Notamacropus eugenii: one gene and its partner. The protein of the gene in region 1 purifies or fractionates together with the protein of each later gene. This does not show direct contact. Links are inferred from orthologs where the notes say so. Each region holds a gene or a part of one and is shown on either strand. Other genes may lie near its edges.

Region 1 (7,637 bases):
AGGACATAAAAAGTTTGCTTACAACCTCCAAGAAGTTAGCAATGCAAAAGTGGAGAAAGTCATGCTTCAATCCATAAAAAGGGATTCTTAAGCACCCTACGGGAACAACAGACTCATGCCAAGCAAAATGAAACATAACAGAGATCTCCAAGAAAACATAAGATCAAAACACTCTGGCAAACAACTTATTGAAAGTAACCCTATTTTGCCAAAGAAATCAAAGCTTCGTTGATGGGTTTTTTTTAAAGAGATAAAAAGAAAAAAAGCATGAAGACAAGGAAAAAGCAAGGAATATAACTTAATTAATAAAAGATACACAGAATAGAGACCATTTTTTAAGTCACCAAGGTACAGTGGATAGAATGCTGGACAGGCAGAATCAGGAAGATCTGAGTTCAAATCCCATTTCAAACATTTATTAGGTGCATGACCTAGTAGGATAATTCACATAACTTCCCTGGGCTCTTTTCTTCATCTGTGAAATGAGAAAGCTTGGCCTATTCTATGGTACCACAGTTTAAGGAGTTGTCTTTTGTAAATTTTGGAGTAATTTATTTGTTGGGTTGCATCATTCTGATTTTTGAAGTATGGAGAGACTGTAGCATTTACCTGTTTGTATTTATTTGGTGGGGGAGGAGATAGAAAGTGATTATATAGGAATGTGGGAGGAAGGACCAAAAGTCATTGCATCCAGTCACTTCCTGATTGGCTGAGAGAGATCCAACTTATATAATAGGCAAAAGAGTTTGACCCAGCACACCCAAGTGAGGAATCTCAAAATCAGACTGGTAGCATTCTAGTAGCCAAGACAATATTCTTTGATGCAGTCATGACAGAGTCAGCCATGGCAGCATGAGTTTACCAAGCTAGAAGAGGGTCAGCACCCACCTGGCCAGGAGAAGTTTATTTAAGTCATAGGTTAAAAAGTTTAGGTGGTACTAAGTCTGAAATTAGCTTATTTCTAATTACCTTGTCCTGAATTATTTATGAATTTCTATGTTCTCTTTTCCCTGGTAAACGAATTCTTTAAAAAAAAAAAAGCTTTCATGATCTGAAGCATGTGGAAACAGGATAAAAAGAGAAAAAGAAGCTGATGTAAAACAGGACACCTGCTTCTTTGTAGCAACACCTTAATAATGACAAATTAGGAGCAGTTGCAGCAGAGCTACAGACCCAAATGGCCAACCTTTGGTTCAGTGACCCAGGAAAGTACATAAAAAAGGCACAATGCCTTTAGTGGGGGGGTTCAGAATGTGGTGAAAAGTGAAGGCTCCAAAGTTCAATAAAAAGTCTGGATTAGTTAAGCCTAAAACTCAAGGCTGGATCCCTGAACACCATGATCAGAGACAGAATACTGGACTGGATGTCCTATCCCAAATCTGACCCAGCAGGACAAGTCTTATGTCAAGCACTATTATACTGTACATGGCATACATAGCTACTAAGAACTCAATTCAGTAGACATCTCTTGCAACAGCCTGCTTATCAAATCACTCCATCTTAGTCTAAATTTACTTTTGTATCTAAGTACAGTATTTAGAAAAGCTTTATGCTACTGCAGCTTATTTACAGTTGTCACTAACTATCCTCTAGCAGCCAACAAGCCCATCAAATACTCTTTTAAACCTTCTTGTTAAAACAAAAATATTCTAAGGTTTTATTTATTTTTCAAAGTTCTCTAATTTGACTTCAATTTTTCCCCAGAGTTAAAGTCAGAAATTAGAATGGAAGAAAGCTAATTAGATTCACTCTAACTGAAGTAGCTGAGATTGACTGATTGATGAACTTCAATCAGCTGAGAAAGGTATCGGGAGGACACAGTTTTTGGTCCCAGCTCCACTTTCAGGTTCAAATTCAATTCAATAAACGTTTATTAAGTGTCAGGCAGGGTGCTAACCCCCGAGGACGCAAAAAGAGGGAAAAGAGAGTCCCTGCCCTCAAGGCGCTTACAGTCTAAAGGGCAGACAAAATGCAAACCAAGATATACAAAGCAAGCTATCTACAGGATAAATACCAAAGGACACAGGGAAGGCTTCCCGTCTGTGGTCTGATTTTAGCTGGGACTTAAAGGCATAAATAGAATACGTCCAAGTGCTTGGAAGAATCGCCGAACTGTAAGACAGTATCACCATTCAATTATATACTTGGGAAAAAGAGTAAGGCACCTGCAGCTCAGTACAGTGGGCAGAGCGCCGGCTCTGGATTCAAAGGGCTGGGGCCAAATCCTACCTGGGATACTACCTGTGTGTTCTAGGGCAAATCATTAAACCTTGGTTTTCTCATCTGTAAGATGAGGGGGGTTGGACTAGACAGCTCGAGGTCCCTTCCAGCTCTAGGAAAAAAAACCAAGGCTGCGATGCCAACGGTTCCTCCGCGACACTCGAGAAGCGACCTGAAAACACCTGGGGACACTGAATGGAGCCCAAGGCCTGCCCCCAGGGAAGGGAGGGCACGTCGCGACCTCCGCACCCCCACCCTGTCGGTACGGCTGGGCCAGCCCCGGTGCCCGCCGTGCCACGTCCGGGATGGTCCCCGGTGCCCGCCGTGCCACGTCCCGGATGGTCCCCGGTGCCCGCCGTGCCACGTCCCGGATGGTCCCCGGCGCGCGGCCCTCTCGCAGCGCCTCCGCCGTCTCCCCTGCCCCGGGCCCTCCATCTCCCGAGAGGGGTGCGGAGGTCCTGGTGGGCGCGGCCACTCCCGCACGGGAGCGCGGGGCCGACGGACTGACAGCGCCGGGCTGGCCCGGGCGCGGCCCCTGCAGGTAGGCTGGCTGGGCCGGCAGCCCCCGGGGAGCCGGGCCCGGCCCCGCCCCGCCCCAAGTCCCGAGGCCGCGGGCCGGCGGAGAGGCCCGAACCAGCCGCCCAGCCCGGGCCCTTCCGGTCCTTTCGGCGCGTCAGTCTCACCTGGACGGTGTCAAACGGACATTTTCGCGGACCAGACTGGACCGGACCGGACTCCGTCCTCGGCGCCTCGATTCCGCCTCCTTTCTAGCCTTCTCCAGCGAGCTCGCTCTCGCTCTCGCCTCCTCCCCCGTGCCGCGTCACGCGCACCGACCTCCGCGCGCGATACTTCTGGCGGGCGGGGCCGTCACAAGCCGCTCTGTGACGCAGCGCGGAGAGGGGTGTGGGTTCGGAGCGTCCGGGCTCCCGGGCCCGAAGGGAAGGGAGAAGGATGGCGTCACGGGGAGGGGAGGGGAGGGGAGGGGAAGAAGAAGGTGAGGGCGGCTATTCGGGACAGCTCGGGCCAGCCACGCAGGAGTGGGAGAGCGTGGCGGAGTTCCTGCGCAAGCGCAGAGGCTGCCGCACGGAGCTGAGCGCAGGGCCCCGCCCGCTTCCTCCACCACGGTCCGCGGCCGGTCGTCCCGGGGCTCCTCCTGGGGAAGAGTTGGCCTCCCCTGCGTGGGCACGGAGGCCGAGCTCGATCGGGTCGGAGTCCCACCCTCCCTCCTGGTCACCTGCTGTGTAGCCGGGCCTCAGTCTCCTCTAATGTAAAATAATGTAAAAAGATTTTTTTTAACCTTAAACCGTCTTTACGCTCTTAAAAGTGACTGAGGATATCCCCCCAAAAAGAGCTTTTGTCTATGTGAGTTATTTATTAATATTTGCTGTATTCGAAATTAAAACGTCTTTGTATTATCATGAAAATACCTTCCTCCTAGCGGACAGCCTGAAAAGATCTCTGGAACCCTCTGGACCACACTAGGAGAACCACTCGGGCCCGATGGACCCTATGGTCCCTTCCAGCTAGCTCAAAGGCGGGGAGCACGCGCTTGAGGCCCTAGAGGGCCACGTGTGGCCTCGAGGCGGCGGGTTCCCTAGCCCGGCCTTTATCACAGAAGCCTGACAGTGCATCCCTCGCCTCATGCTGGTTCTTTTACAATTCTTGTCAGTTTCAAAGCTGCCCTTGAAGCTAATTTTAGAAAATCTGGAGAGGAAGGATACAAATGTATCCGTGCAACGGAAGAATGGGAGAAATGGATACAAGGGACCTTTCAAAGGAAGACAGCGGCGGCGTGTGGTTACCGTTTGGATAGGAGGCATTTAACGAAAAGAGAAGAAAGTGGGAGAGAAGAAGGGATTTGGGATCAAAGGTGACTGGGGCCTCCATCAAACACAAAGTAAAATACTTTTAGACTGGCAGGTAAATTAAGGACATCAGAAACAATTAGGAACAGTTTTCTTTATAAGGGCCGGTATCTATGATATTCATGAAGTTTTTCAGGGGACTGCCTTCCTTGTAGACTTGACTGTGATTTGTAACATCCATCATCAGTCTCCTCAAAAATATCTAGCTTCTCCTGCCTTCCTAAGATAGGTCGTAACTTACCCAGAATAGTTGGAAATCTTGTCATTTCACTATGCAAAATATTAATTTTGAATATAGTAGGTGCTTAATAAATGGAATCAGTGAATTTGCTGTCACTTTTCAGTAGGACAGGAAAATAAAAAGAATTAAAGCAGAATTTGTTAAATGCCTACTTTGTTTCTGGCTCTAAGTTAGACAACATCGGGCTAAGTCCTTGACCCGAAAGAACTTATACACCTGGTAGGAAAGATAATAGTTAATATGAAATAGCAATAAGGAAATAATGCAAGGCAAAAAAAAGAAGAGAAGACATCAATATAGGCCATGGTGGTTAGGAAAAAAAAAATCATAGAGGAAGTGAAATGTGCGTTTTACCACCAGATAACTAGCAAGCTGAGCTGTCAGTTATCCACTGACCATCTGAATTAAATGCTCAAGTCTATGCTTCCCCAACCCTTCTTGTAAGGAGCTTTCCTAGCAACCACCTCTACCCCTCTCGGGGTCTGTCTTTCTCTTTTAAAAACAGTAAGTTTTTAGGGCAAAAGGGAAAAAATTACATCCCTTCACTGGTCTTCTTTGGGTCTCAATTTGGGTCTCAATTTCCTCATCTAAAAGAGACTCAGGTAAAGATTCCTCAGCTAAAAGATTCTAATCCAACCTCCACATTTTACAGATGAGGAAACTTGGGTTTTGCTCTAATTTTAACCTTCTTTCCTCCGGACCACACCAAGGATAGTATAAGTAGTGGCAGGGGAAGCAGTAGATAAGAATGAGTTTGATATGGACAATGGGACCAGGTTGACTGGATAGAATTCAAAATGAGGTATAATAAGAGGTAAAATTTAAAAAGGGTACAGCAAGATTATGAGGACTTTTGAATGACAGGAAGAGGAAGGAGTCCAATGATGACTCCAAGGTTTTAAATATGGGTGACACAACAGTGACTTGTTGACAAGAAATCAGGAAGCTGAGTGGAATAACTTGTCTGGGTGGAAGATGACAAGTTTAATTTAGGTCATAGAATTTACAGCTGTAATGAACCTTAAGGTCTGAGAGTCCAGCCCCGTAATTCTATGGAAGAAAAAACTGAGACTTTGAGAGACATGACTTTACCAAGGCCACACAGCTAATAAGTGGCAAAGCCAGTTAATAGAGAATATTGAATAGTAGAGAGAGCAGAACATCTATTAGACAACTATTGTTTACAGGATTGTAAGTGAAAGATAAATACTAGAAAAAGAAATTCAGAAGCCATCCACTTGGAAGTGGCATGCGGAAGTTACACATGAACTACTGAAGATGAGCACCCATCATTCACAAGGTCATGAAAATTTGGCCACCTCCAGATTGTGATGGGTGAAATCTGAAGTCACAGAGGAAACAAAAGTTCAAGGTTTCAAGCATCAATTTATTAAGCAATATATGCCTATGGCATAACAAATTGGAACCAGGCCTCCTCAGCTTGGCACTAGACCCTTAATACAGGAGGAGACATCCTTATGTATTGAAAACAATTAACAAGATACAAACCCAGATACAAATTAGATAATCTGATTTCTAATGGAGAGAGGTTAAGGACTTTCTGAGTTGGGAGAGGTAGAGTGAACAGGTGCAATTCCCTGAAGTCAGAAGGAAAAAAGAAGTGTTTCACTTTCCCCCTGCTCCTCAAATGTCTATATTCAATCAAAGGAACAAGAAAACCAGTATAGGCCAATTTTCAGTTAAGACATATGGGTTCCTTGAGATGTAGAATTGTAAGAAAACTCCTTGATCTTGGTTCTGACTGGGTTTCTGGTCAGCATAATCTAGGTCCTTAGTTAAAGTTCTCTAAGCAACAAGTAGAGGTAGTCTAACTTCCTAACTATGCAAGGCTAGTTTTAAGCAAATGTAATAATGTTTTCTCACCATTCCTATAATTGAATAACATTTTCTCGCAGGACAGAAATTGGACTAGATCCATAATTGAATAGAAAGGGAACTGAACTAGATCCAGAATTGAGTCACAAGATGGAATCAGTTTGGTTCACTCAATTCCCACGATTCTTCTCCTTTGATTCCTGGGAGAGGAGACTGGCACCCTCTCCTATAAATCACTTATCTATAAGTCAAATCTATAAGGTTTTCCATATATTCATAATCGGAATTATATAAGTCAGGTTATAGATCAGACTATCTAGAGGGTTCACAATGAACTCATTTTGAGAAGGGAGATTTATATCACCAACATAACTTCAGCAGACCTAAACACCATGAAACAAAAGGCCAAAATAATACAGTGATAATCATCAATATTAGATAACATTGTCTTCTTCTATTCTAGTAATCCACTGTTAATGTCCACTTAAGCATCACATATTGTCTTAAGTCTCAGTTTTCCCATGTGGTCATCTGGTCCCTGGAAATATCTTCTGGACATTCTGAAATAGGCCTCATTTTCAGAATAGCTCTGAAGAGGACTTCGCTTCTCTTTTTCTAAATCATTTGTAGAGATTCCTAGATAATTAAAGGCAGCAAGGTGGCTCAGAGCACTAGGCCTTGAGTCAAGAAGAACTGAGTTCAAATATGGCCTCAGACACTTACTAGATCCTTGGCAAGTTACTTAGCTTCTGTTTGCCTTAGTCCATTGGAGGAGGGAATGACAAACCACTCCAATATCTTTGCCAAGAAAACCCCATGGAGATATGGTTCACAGGATGACAAAGAGTCAGATGCAACTGAATGACCGAACAATAGACAAGACTGTAGCATACAAAATACATGACTACAGTAATGTGATTTAATATAATCTTTTAAATTTGGTTTTCCAATAACTAGCTCATGTGGTGAAAACCAACTCAAGCCTTATGGTTCTGATCCTATTAACCACAGAGATATAAGAAGGACATCAAATTAGAAACCCATAATTGACCTGAGGCTTTAGAAAATTTTAGTTTTTTATATGACTAGTTACTATTTTTATCTTTACCTACACCCTATACCTGACATAAGAATCTATTAAAAAAAAATCATGAGTTGAAAAATGTCATCCACATCCAGAGAAAGAAGCATGGAGTCAGAATGCAGAATGAAGCAGACTATTTTCTCTTTTTGTTATATTTTATTTTGTTTTGTTTTTCTTATGGTTTCTCCCATTCATTTTAATTCTTCTATGCAACATGAAAAAAATTGAAGGTGATGTATAAAAAATATCATGAGTGTCTAACTTGTAAAATGAACACTTCTGTCTTTTATTATTATCAGACAAATTTAAAATAGGAAAGTAATATCACCTTCTTTACAATTAGCAGTGCAATTGTATATGTAAAATCCTTAATCCAATTTTTACAACTTAT
Region 2 (7,503 bases), on another chromosome or scaffold:
TCTCCTTGTTTTTATGCCAGTTATTTCCAGATGTGGACCTACCCTAACAAGCCTTCCATAGTGACAAATTAAGAGCAATTTGACAATACCAAGAGACTTCTGTGTGACAGAGTATACGACATTCCACGCCCACAGTCCCCCACCTCCCCAACCATAGGAAGGATGGACGCTTCTTGTTTCTTCTCACAGGAGAAGACTTGTCACCCTGATAACACAGAGTGCTGTTTCATGGAATTGATCTTCCATTTTCATGCTTCCTTCACTGTGTCAAGCTCTGCTCATCCTTTTTCTTTTCATTCATATCTTTCCACAACCAATAATGCATTCTTACTAAGGGTCTGGGAGCTGAGGACCAGCCACGGGAGCACATGGGTGCTCACAACTAACACATGAGCAAGGAGGGCCCTTTCAAATGGTATCACTCTATTTCTGCCCATGAAATGAGCACAGAGGAACAAGGCCAGGGGAAAATCAGCTCCTAGAAGCAATGGGGATGGCTTCACTCTCTTGAGGTCACCTTATGCACAGGGAAGGGCCATGGATGCAAATTTCTGCTGCTAACTCCCTGAGTCACCTTGAAGACATCACTTGACTGTCTTTGTGCCTCAACTTCCTTATCTGTATCATGAGAGGACACAGCCAGAGGATTTCTAAGGTTCCCTCCACCTCTCTAACCAGTGACGGGAAGTGCCCAAGTCGAGTATAAATGACCCCTGACTTGGGAAACTAGAACCGGACTTCTGATTCAGGTCTGGGTTGGACCAGGAGAGCTCTGAGGGCCCCTAAGTCTCAGAGTCAAAGTCACATGACTTTTCCTGGCCAACATGATAGGCTCAATAAAATGATCTCTGAAACTGTCCTGAGGATCACTGCTTAGAGAGGTGGAGAGACTCTTCAAACGTAGTGAATATGACCTGAACTCCATGCCTAACCAGACCAGGGTACAAACGTCTCTGGTTTTTCTGCTGTCCTGCTACCTTCGTGACTCAGCCTGAAGTCCAACATTAAAATCCCCAGGGTTCCACTGGAGGTCTAGCCACTGGGTCCCTACTTTCATTTCTTGAGTCCAAATGTAAAACTTCCTTTTTCCTTGTTAAAGGGCATCATTTTAGATCCTGTCTAGCCTGTTGGACTCCAATCTACTCACCAGACTGCCCAGCTTGGTGCTGTCCAATGTGACTAGTATTCCAACTATGCTACATCCAAGATGTTGACAAAAATGCTGAGCAGAGCAGGGCCAAATGCTGACCTTTAGGGAGGGCCACTAAGACCTCCTTTCATGATACCAACAAACCATCCACTCTAATCCTTGAACTAGTTCTGAATGTCCCTGACAGAGCTGTCATGCAGCCCACCAGAAGTCTCTCTGTTAGTCTTGCTAACAAGGATATATTGAGTGACACCATGAAATGACCTGCTGTAACCCTTTGACCATTACCAGGCTTGAAAAGAAATGAGGTCGAATGCAAAGGAAATCAGACAGTGGATTTCAAAGAAATTGTTTCCGCTCAGCTGATGCTTTTACTTGCCTTTCTTCCTCTTCATGGAGCAGGTTGGCAGATGAGGGCATAGCCTGAAAACCCTACCCAGGTTCTCTGAATTTAGCACTGGGCAAGCACTGGCTGAAGATAGCTGACCAACTGGAGCCCCCTCCCCCACCCCATTTCCCAGCCAGAACTCTGCCTAATGGCTTCTGAAATACATTCACAAGGCTGGTCTCTTGGGCTTACTCTGAGGGTCGAAGCTCGTCTAAGGTTCTGCTTCTGCTGTGGAAATGGCCCAAGACAGGGATGGGAAGAAGAAAGACAGAGGGAACCTTGACGCACTCATACCTAGACTGCCAAGGAAAGGGGCCTTCTTCTCATGACAAGACGTCAGCGACTTGGGACCGAGGGGGAAAGACTGGTGGCTAAAGACAAGCTCAGTGAGAGAATCTCTATCCTTTTCTGGAAGAAACGAACCAAGATGGGGAGAGGGAGCCCAAGGAGGCGAGTTCTTTGTCCCACGAGGATTCCAAGCAGGAATTCTGAGGGGACCCTTCTGTTTGCGCTTGCGATGAGTCTCCCCAAAAGCACAGCGGATTCATTCTCACACCTTTGCGGTGCTCTCCCCCAACTCTGAGTCATGAGACCCTGGCTGTGGGGGAAGGGCCCAGCCCCGAGATCATCCGTAGACTTCTAGTTCACACCTTCAGGGTACCCTCCTGCAAGTGCGGGAGGATGATGGAGCTAAGAGCACGGAGACGTGGGGGGTGGGAGCAAGGCCAAGAGGTAACTGGAGGTCAGGGGCAGAGAGGACAACCCCTCCCCCGACCTTGCCCAAGACTAGGTTGCTTTTTTTGTTTTTGTTTTTTTAACCTCGAAGAGGAAAAATGCTCCCACATCCCCGGGGAGAGGGAGTGTACAAAGCAGCTGGCCGGCCCTGCCCTAGCGAGGGCGTGGCAAGGGCGTGGGCTTGCGCTGCAGCATCCCATGGCCTCCAGGGCAGCTCAGCTCTCTGGGCTCTGGCTTGGTTGGAGACGTCCCCCTCCCTCAGGGCCGGGGAATAAGGGATTGTTTGGGGAGGGCGCGCGCGGACTTCCCTGGCCTGCTCACTCTTCCCGGGAGCTGGGGGGAAGGGAGGCGGTAAAGGGGGTTGCTCCCCATCCCCCATCTCCCATCATCTCCCATCTCCCATTCCCCGGTTCTGCCTTCGCGCTGGTCCCCCACTCCGGCTGCCCTTGGGCCCAAGGGAAGCGCGTCACGGTCTCGGTCAGGGGCGCGGGGGCTGGTTACCTGGCACTGCAGCAGCTGGGGCTAAGGACCCGGGCCTCTGGGATGAGCTCAGGCAGTGGCGGCTGCGGCGGTGATGGCAGAAGGGAGGAAGGAGGATGGAGGAGGCAGGAGGGAGGAGCCCGAGCCCGTCGGCAGCTGCCACAGTCCAGCTTGGTCGGTCCTCGGCCTCTGCGCAGCGCTCCGAAGCAGTGGATTGACGGACAGACTGCCTGGCTGGCTGGCGGTGCTGCGGTGCTGTGTCACGGCTGGGGACCCTCCCACCCCCATCACCTCCGGCTCCTCCCCGCCCCTGAGCTCCTCCCCAAACCGCCCCAGCGTCCCCTCCCCCATCCCGGCACTAACCCGAACCCAGACCCTGACCCAGGCTGGTAGACTTGGGGCTGCGCAGGACCCGAGGGGCTATCCGGTGAATTTAACAGAGGAGGAAACTGAGGCCCATGCAGGTGAAAGGAGTTGGTCAGGGTTATACATAGCAAAGGTGGCACGGGAACCCACAACCCCCTACTCTAAGTCTCTGCAAGACCCCTCCTGGTTAGCCTCTTGGGGCAGCCTCCCCCCAGTCCTCTGGAGGCCATCTTGTCCTTCAGCTGGAGGAATCAAATGGAGGGCCGACACACCTGCGGGAAAGGAAGACATGAGCACCCTGCCCCTCCTCCTCTAAGCCTCTGCCTCTCTCTGCCTCTGTCTTTCTGTGTCTGTCTCTCCCATGCACCCAGACAGCACACACATCACGTGCACATTTACTAGGCATATTTCCCATCCCCACACTCACAGCTGTGTGTGTGTGTTGTGTGTGTTGCATGTGTGTGTTGTGTGTGTGTGTGTGTGTGTGTGTGTGTACTCGATCAATGCTTGTTTCCTAACTGGCTAATTAAAAATGTTAAAAAATTCACAAACTCCAGAGAGTCACTGGGGAGGAGGGGAAGAAGAGGGAGAAGGAGCAGAGGTATCAGCCTTCTTTCCTCCATTGTAGGGAAAACCCAAAATACAAAAACAAAATGACAGAGGGTGGGGTACAAAACCAAGAGCAGAGAACCATGAAGAAGTCAGTGGGAAATCTCCCAGGCAATGGAAGCTCAGAAGAAGGCCTGCTTTGACAAATATGCTAAAATAAAGTTTACCAGATCTACTGCTCACTCCTTCTCCTTGTGTGACCTTGGACAAGTGCTCTCACCTCCCTGGATCTCTGTGTTCTCAAATATAAAAGGCAGATATTGCTTTCCATGACCTACAAGTTTCCTTCCTGCTTTAAACTATGGTCCTATGAAAAGGCCTGGAAGTTGGAGTATCAGAACTAAGTCCATCAGCTTAATTTTTGAGTTTGGGCATATTCATTTTTTGTGGCCAGATCTAGAGGGCTTGGGGTTTGAGGGAAGGGATGGTGAATCACATCTACACCCTTTATGGTTTGGTAGAACATAGTCCCAAAGTGATTTGAGCAGAATGCAGGCTAACAATTAGGAACTCTTCAGAGTTAAAAAAATAATGAGGATTTTCTAACCCAAAGTCAGAGAGAGGGTTGGAACAGAGGTGTTGGCCCTGGCAGCTAAAAGAAGTTAAAAGAATACACAATCCTAAACATCAGCCACTCTGCCTGGCTTTTGTTCCAAGACTTTTGGCTAGGTGTGGTGGCTTGAGCCATGATTAAAGATTGACCACTCAGCCCTTATCAGGGAGACTTCCTAATCCCTGGAATTGCCCTATCAAATAGAGGTCAAAATGGCCTTGATAGGAGGAAGCCAAGAAGCTGAGGAGAGAAAAATGTGGCCCCCAAAAGACAGCAGGGAGCAACACTAGAAGGGAGTAGGCTCAGGCAAGAGGAGCAAGGTCTCTTTGCTAGATAATATCAGCATCCCTGCATTACTAGAGGCATCACCACACATGTGCTCTGGCTACACATGTTCCATATATTCATGACTCCATTGGTTATATCTATGCAGATTCACTCTGCCCACTGGCAGTGTGTACAACTGTAGAAGAATGCACCTCAGGTTGGAAGGGATGTCTTGCTACTACTGGTCTTAATGTGCCATTTCATTAATGTTCTTAATATGCTATAATATGATAATTGTGGCCTCTGGCTGAATTATAAAAGGAAGCTGGATCCTAATCAGTGTAAATTTGAATTCACATGATTTAAGGTTATAATTATGTAAAAAATGATAATTGGTTCCAACCCAAAGAAAATATGGAGTGCCAATCTGAATACCACAATTTCAAGGAATTTGTTATAATTCGCACTGAGACTTAGTATGTAAACACATCGAGGATCTCGTTAGCTTCGGCTTCGTATGACTGTGGACTTATAGTGTACCTTGAGCCTGGAATGAATGTTCTGGGGGACCCACATGCCAGACAGAATGTCCTCGCTTTAAGCAGGTGAATCTGACCAAGTGACTTACCTCTCCAGAAGAAACACTGAGGGGAGGAGTGAAATGGAGTCAATGACTAAGACTAAAAGGATTGGTGTGTAGCAATGTGGGTGGGGTGGGGGATGGAGATTATATAACGTGAGTTTGTAGTGAGCTACAAGATCCACCACTCAGCAGTACAGAGAGATGTAGGAGCAAAGATGGTGAATAGAGGTGGTGGCCCTGGGCCTGACCAGAGGGAAGCAAAAGGAGAAGGTATTTAAGAGTAAAGGAGATTGGAAAATCAAGACTCTAAAGTGAGGCCAGAGCTGGGACAGAACAGAGCAGGGAGGGTCATGGGGGGCATTTCAGTGAGGTCAGGGTGAAGAGTGGGAGCGATAGAAGATGGTTATTATCAGAGGAAGAAGGGTCACTGTTCAAGAACATGAAGATGATACATTGATAGGTCATGCCACCTAGGGGGATGGCTGGGGTTGGTGTGGAGGAACATATGGGTCATGGATGTTGAGATGGTTGTGGACAAAGTTTCTGACAAGGAGGGAGGTGGTTGAGAGAGAGGGAATGCTCAGAGGGCAGTGAGGGCCTAGAGATTCTGTCCTTGAAAGATTGGTTGAAGAAACTGGACATGTTTAGAATGGAGAAGGAAAGACTTGGAAGGCAGGAAGGACAGGAAGGTGTTTGGGGGGTTGTCCCTTGGAAGAAGGTTAGATTTCTTCAGTTCAGATGAGAAGACAGACCTGTGGACAGTACTCCAATTTGCAAATGGGCAGACTGAGGATTGATATATGCTGCTTAACCATGAGCACTGTCCAGAAGTGGAATGGGCCACCACAGAAGGAAGGAGGGAGCTCACTCTCCTTGAGGTCACGATGAGCAGATGGACCAATGAATGAATGGACCAACAAACCATTTATTAAGCCTGCTGTTTGCCAGGCTCTACCGAACATAGATGATGTCAGTGCAGAAGTGAGACAGATCCTCCCCTTGATGAACCAACATTCTCATTGATAAATTCCAACCATATAGGAGAGTGTTGACCGGGAAAGGGAGCTTGGTTCTAGATGATCTCAGGTTCTAGATGATGATGGCAAATGGATCCACTCAGCTCTGACTTGTTCTTTCCAGAAGCAAGGTTCCTATTTGTGAGATAGATTGTTGTGTTTAGGACAGGAAGTGGGACTGGGAAAAAGCTTCGTTCACTCTGCTGAGCAGAGTTGGTGGATTCTCTGATGGGGATTCTCTGATGAATCCTGCTGGACCTGAAACCAGTTAGGGACTTGTCATCCGTTCCAAGCCTTGTTTTTGTAGTTAAATTTTATTTTTCTGTTTTCAAATATTTATTCCAGCCCTTCCATTGGAAAAGAACAAAACCCTTGTAGCCAATAAGCATAATCCCATCTTGATATCCAAAAGTCTGACCCATTCTGCCCTTTCATCCTTCCCTCTCAGTAACTCTGCGCTTCCTTATAAACTCTGAACTCTTGGCTGGTCATTAGGGAAGGACGAGGGCAGGGAAGGGAAGCGTAGATGAAGCGCCTACAAATTTTATCTTCCATGATCATTACACTGATCAGAGCACCTGAGGTTATTGTGCACATCTTAGTCTACATCAGCTCATAAAAGGCTTCCCAGGTTTCTACTGTGCAACGTATGAATGAAGCACATTCATTACCATAACTCAGCCATACCGCAATTGATGGGCACTTCCTCAGTTTACTGCTCTTTGCCACCTCAAAAAGAGCTGCTATCCATATTTTTGTCTGTGTGAGTGGCTTGTCCTCTTTTTTTGATGGCAGAGGTCTAGTACTGTTTATTGGGTGAAACGACACAGTTTCATGATTTCGTGGCACAGTTCCAAATTGCTTTCCAGAAAGATAATGTCAATTCACAGTTCCACCAATAGTGCATCGACATGTCTGTTTATAGCCCCTCTGACACTTGTCATTTTGCTTTTGTTTCAATTAGCTTTGCCAGTCAAATGAAGAGAAAGTGCAGCCTCAAAGTTGCTTTAATTAGCAGTCTCTAATTCTTAGTTTTTTGAGGAATTTTTTCATTTGACTCTTGATAACTTGAATTTCTTCATCTGAGAACTGCATGTTTATGTCCTTTGGTCATTTTCAACTGGTGAATGGCTCTAATATTTATATATCTTGGAAAGGAGACCTTTATCAGAGAAACTCATTTTAAAGACTTGTCTATTAATGGTTTACCTTCTAATCTTAGCTGCATTGGCTTTGTTTGTGCAAAAACTTTCAAATTTTGTATAATCAGAATTTTCCATTTTAGCTTCTTGTATTGTCTCTAGCCATTATTTGGTTATGAGCTGCTCCCCACCTATCAATCTGAAACATGATTTA

Evidence for each region. The genes of interacting proteins can lie anywhere in the genome.
Region 2: the proteins of NDEL1 (region 1) and DYNC1I1 purify together in Homo sapiens (affinity purification with western blotting; 3 studies listed by BioGRID and IntAct, with this or other methods). This does not show direct contact. The link is inferred for Notamacropus eugenii from reciprocal best matches to the Homo sapiens genes NDEL1 and DYNC1I1.

Annotation. Positions count from the first base shown.
Region 1 is NC_092873.1:77,336,593-77,344,229, forward strand, and holds the start of NDEL1 (nuclear distribution protein nudE-like 1), read right to left. Parts: upstream 3,018-7,637; 5' UTR 2,904-3,017; intron 1-2,903. UniProt on the Homo sapiens protein: Required for organization of the cellular microtubule array and microtubule anchoring at the centrosome. May regulate microtubule organization at least in part by targeting the microtubule severing protein KATNA1 to the centrosome.
Region 2 is NC_092874.1:942,370-949,872, reverse strand, and holds the start of DYNC1I1 (cytoplasmic dynein 1 intermediate chain 1), read right to left. Parts: upstream 3,020-7,503; 5' UTR 2,775-3,019; intron 1-2,774. UniProt on the Homo sapiens protein: Acts as one of several non-catalytic accessory components of the cytoplasmic dynein 1 complex that are thought to be involved in linking dynein to cargos and to adapter proteins that regulate dynein function.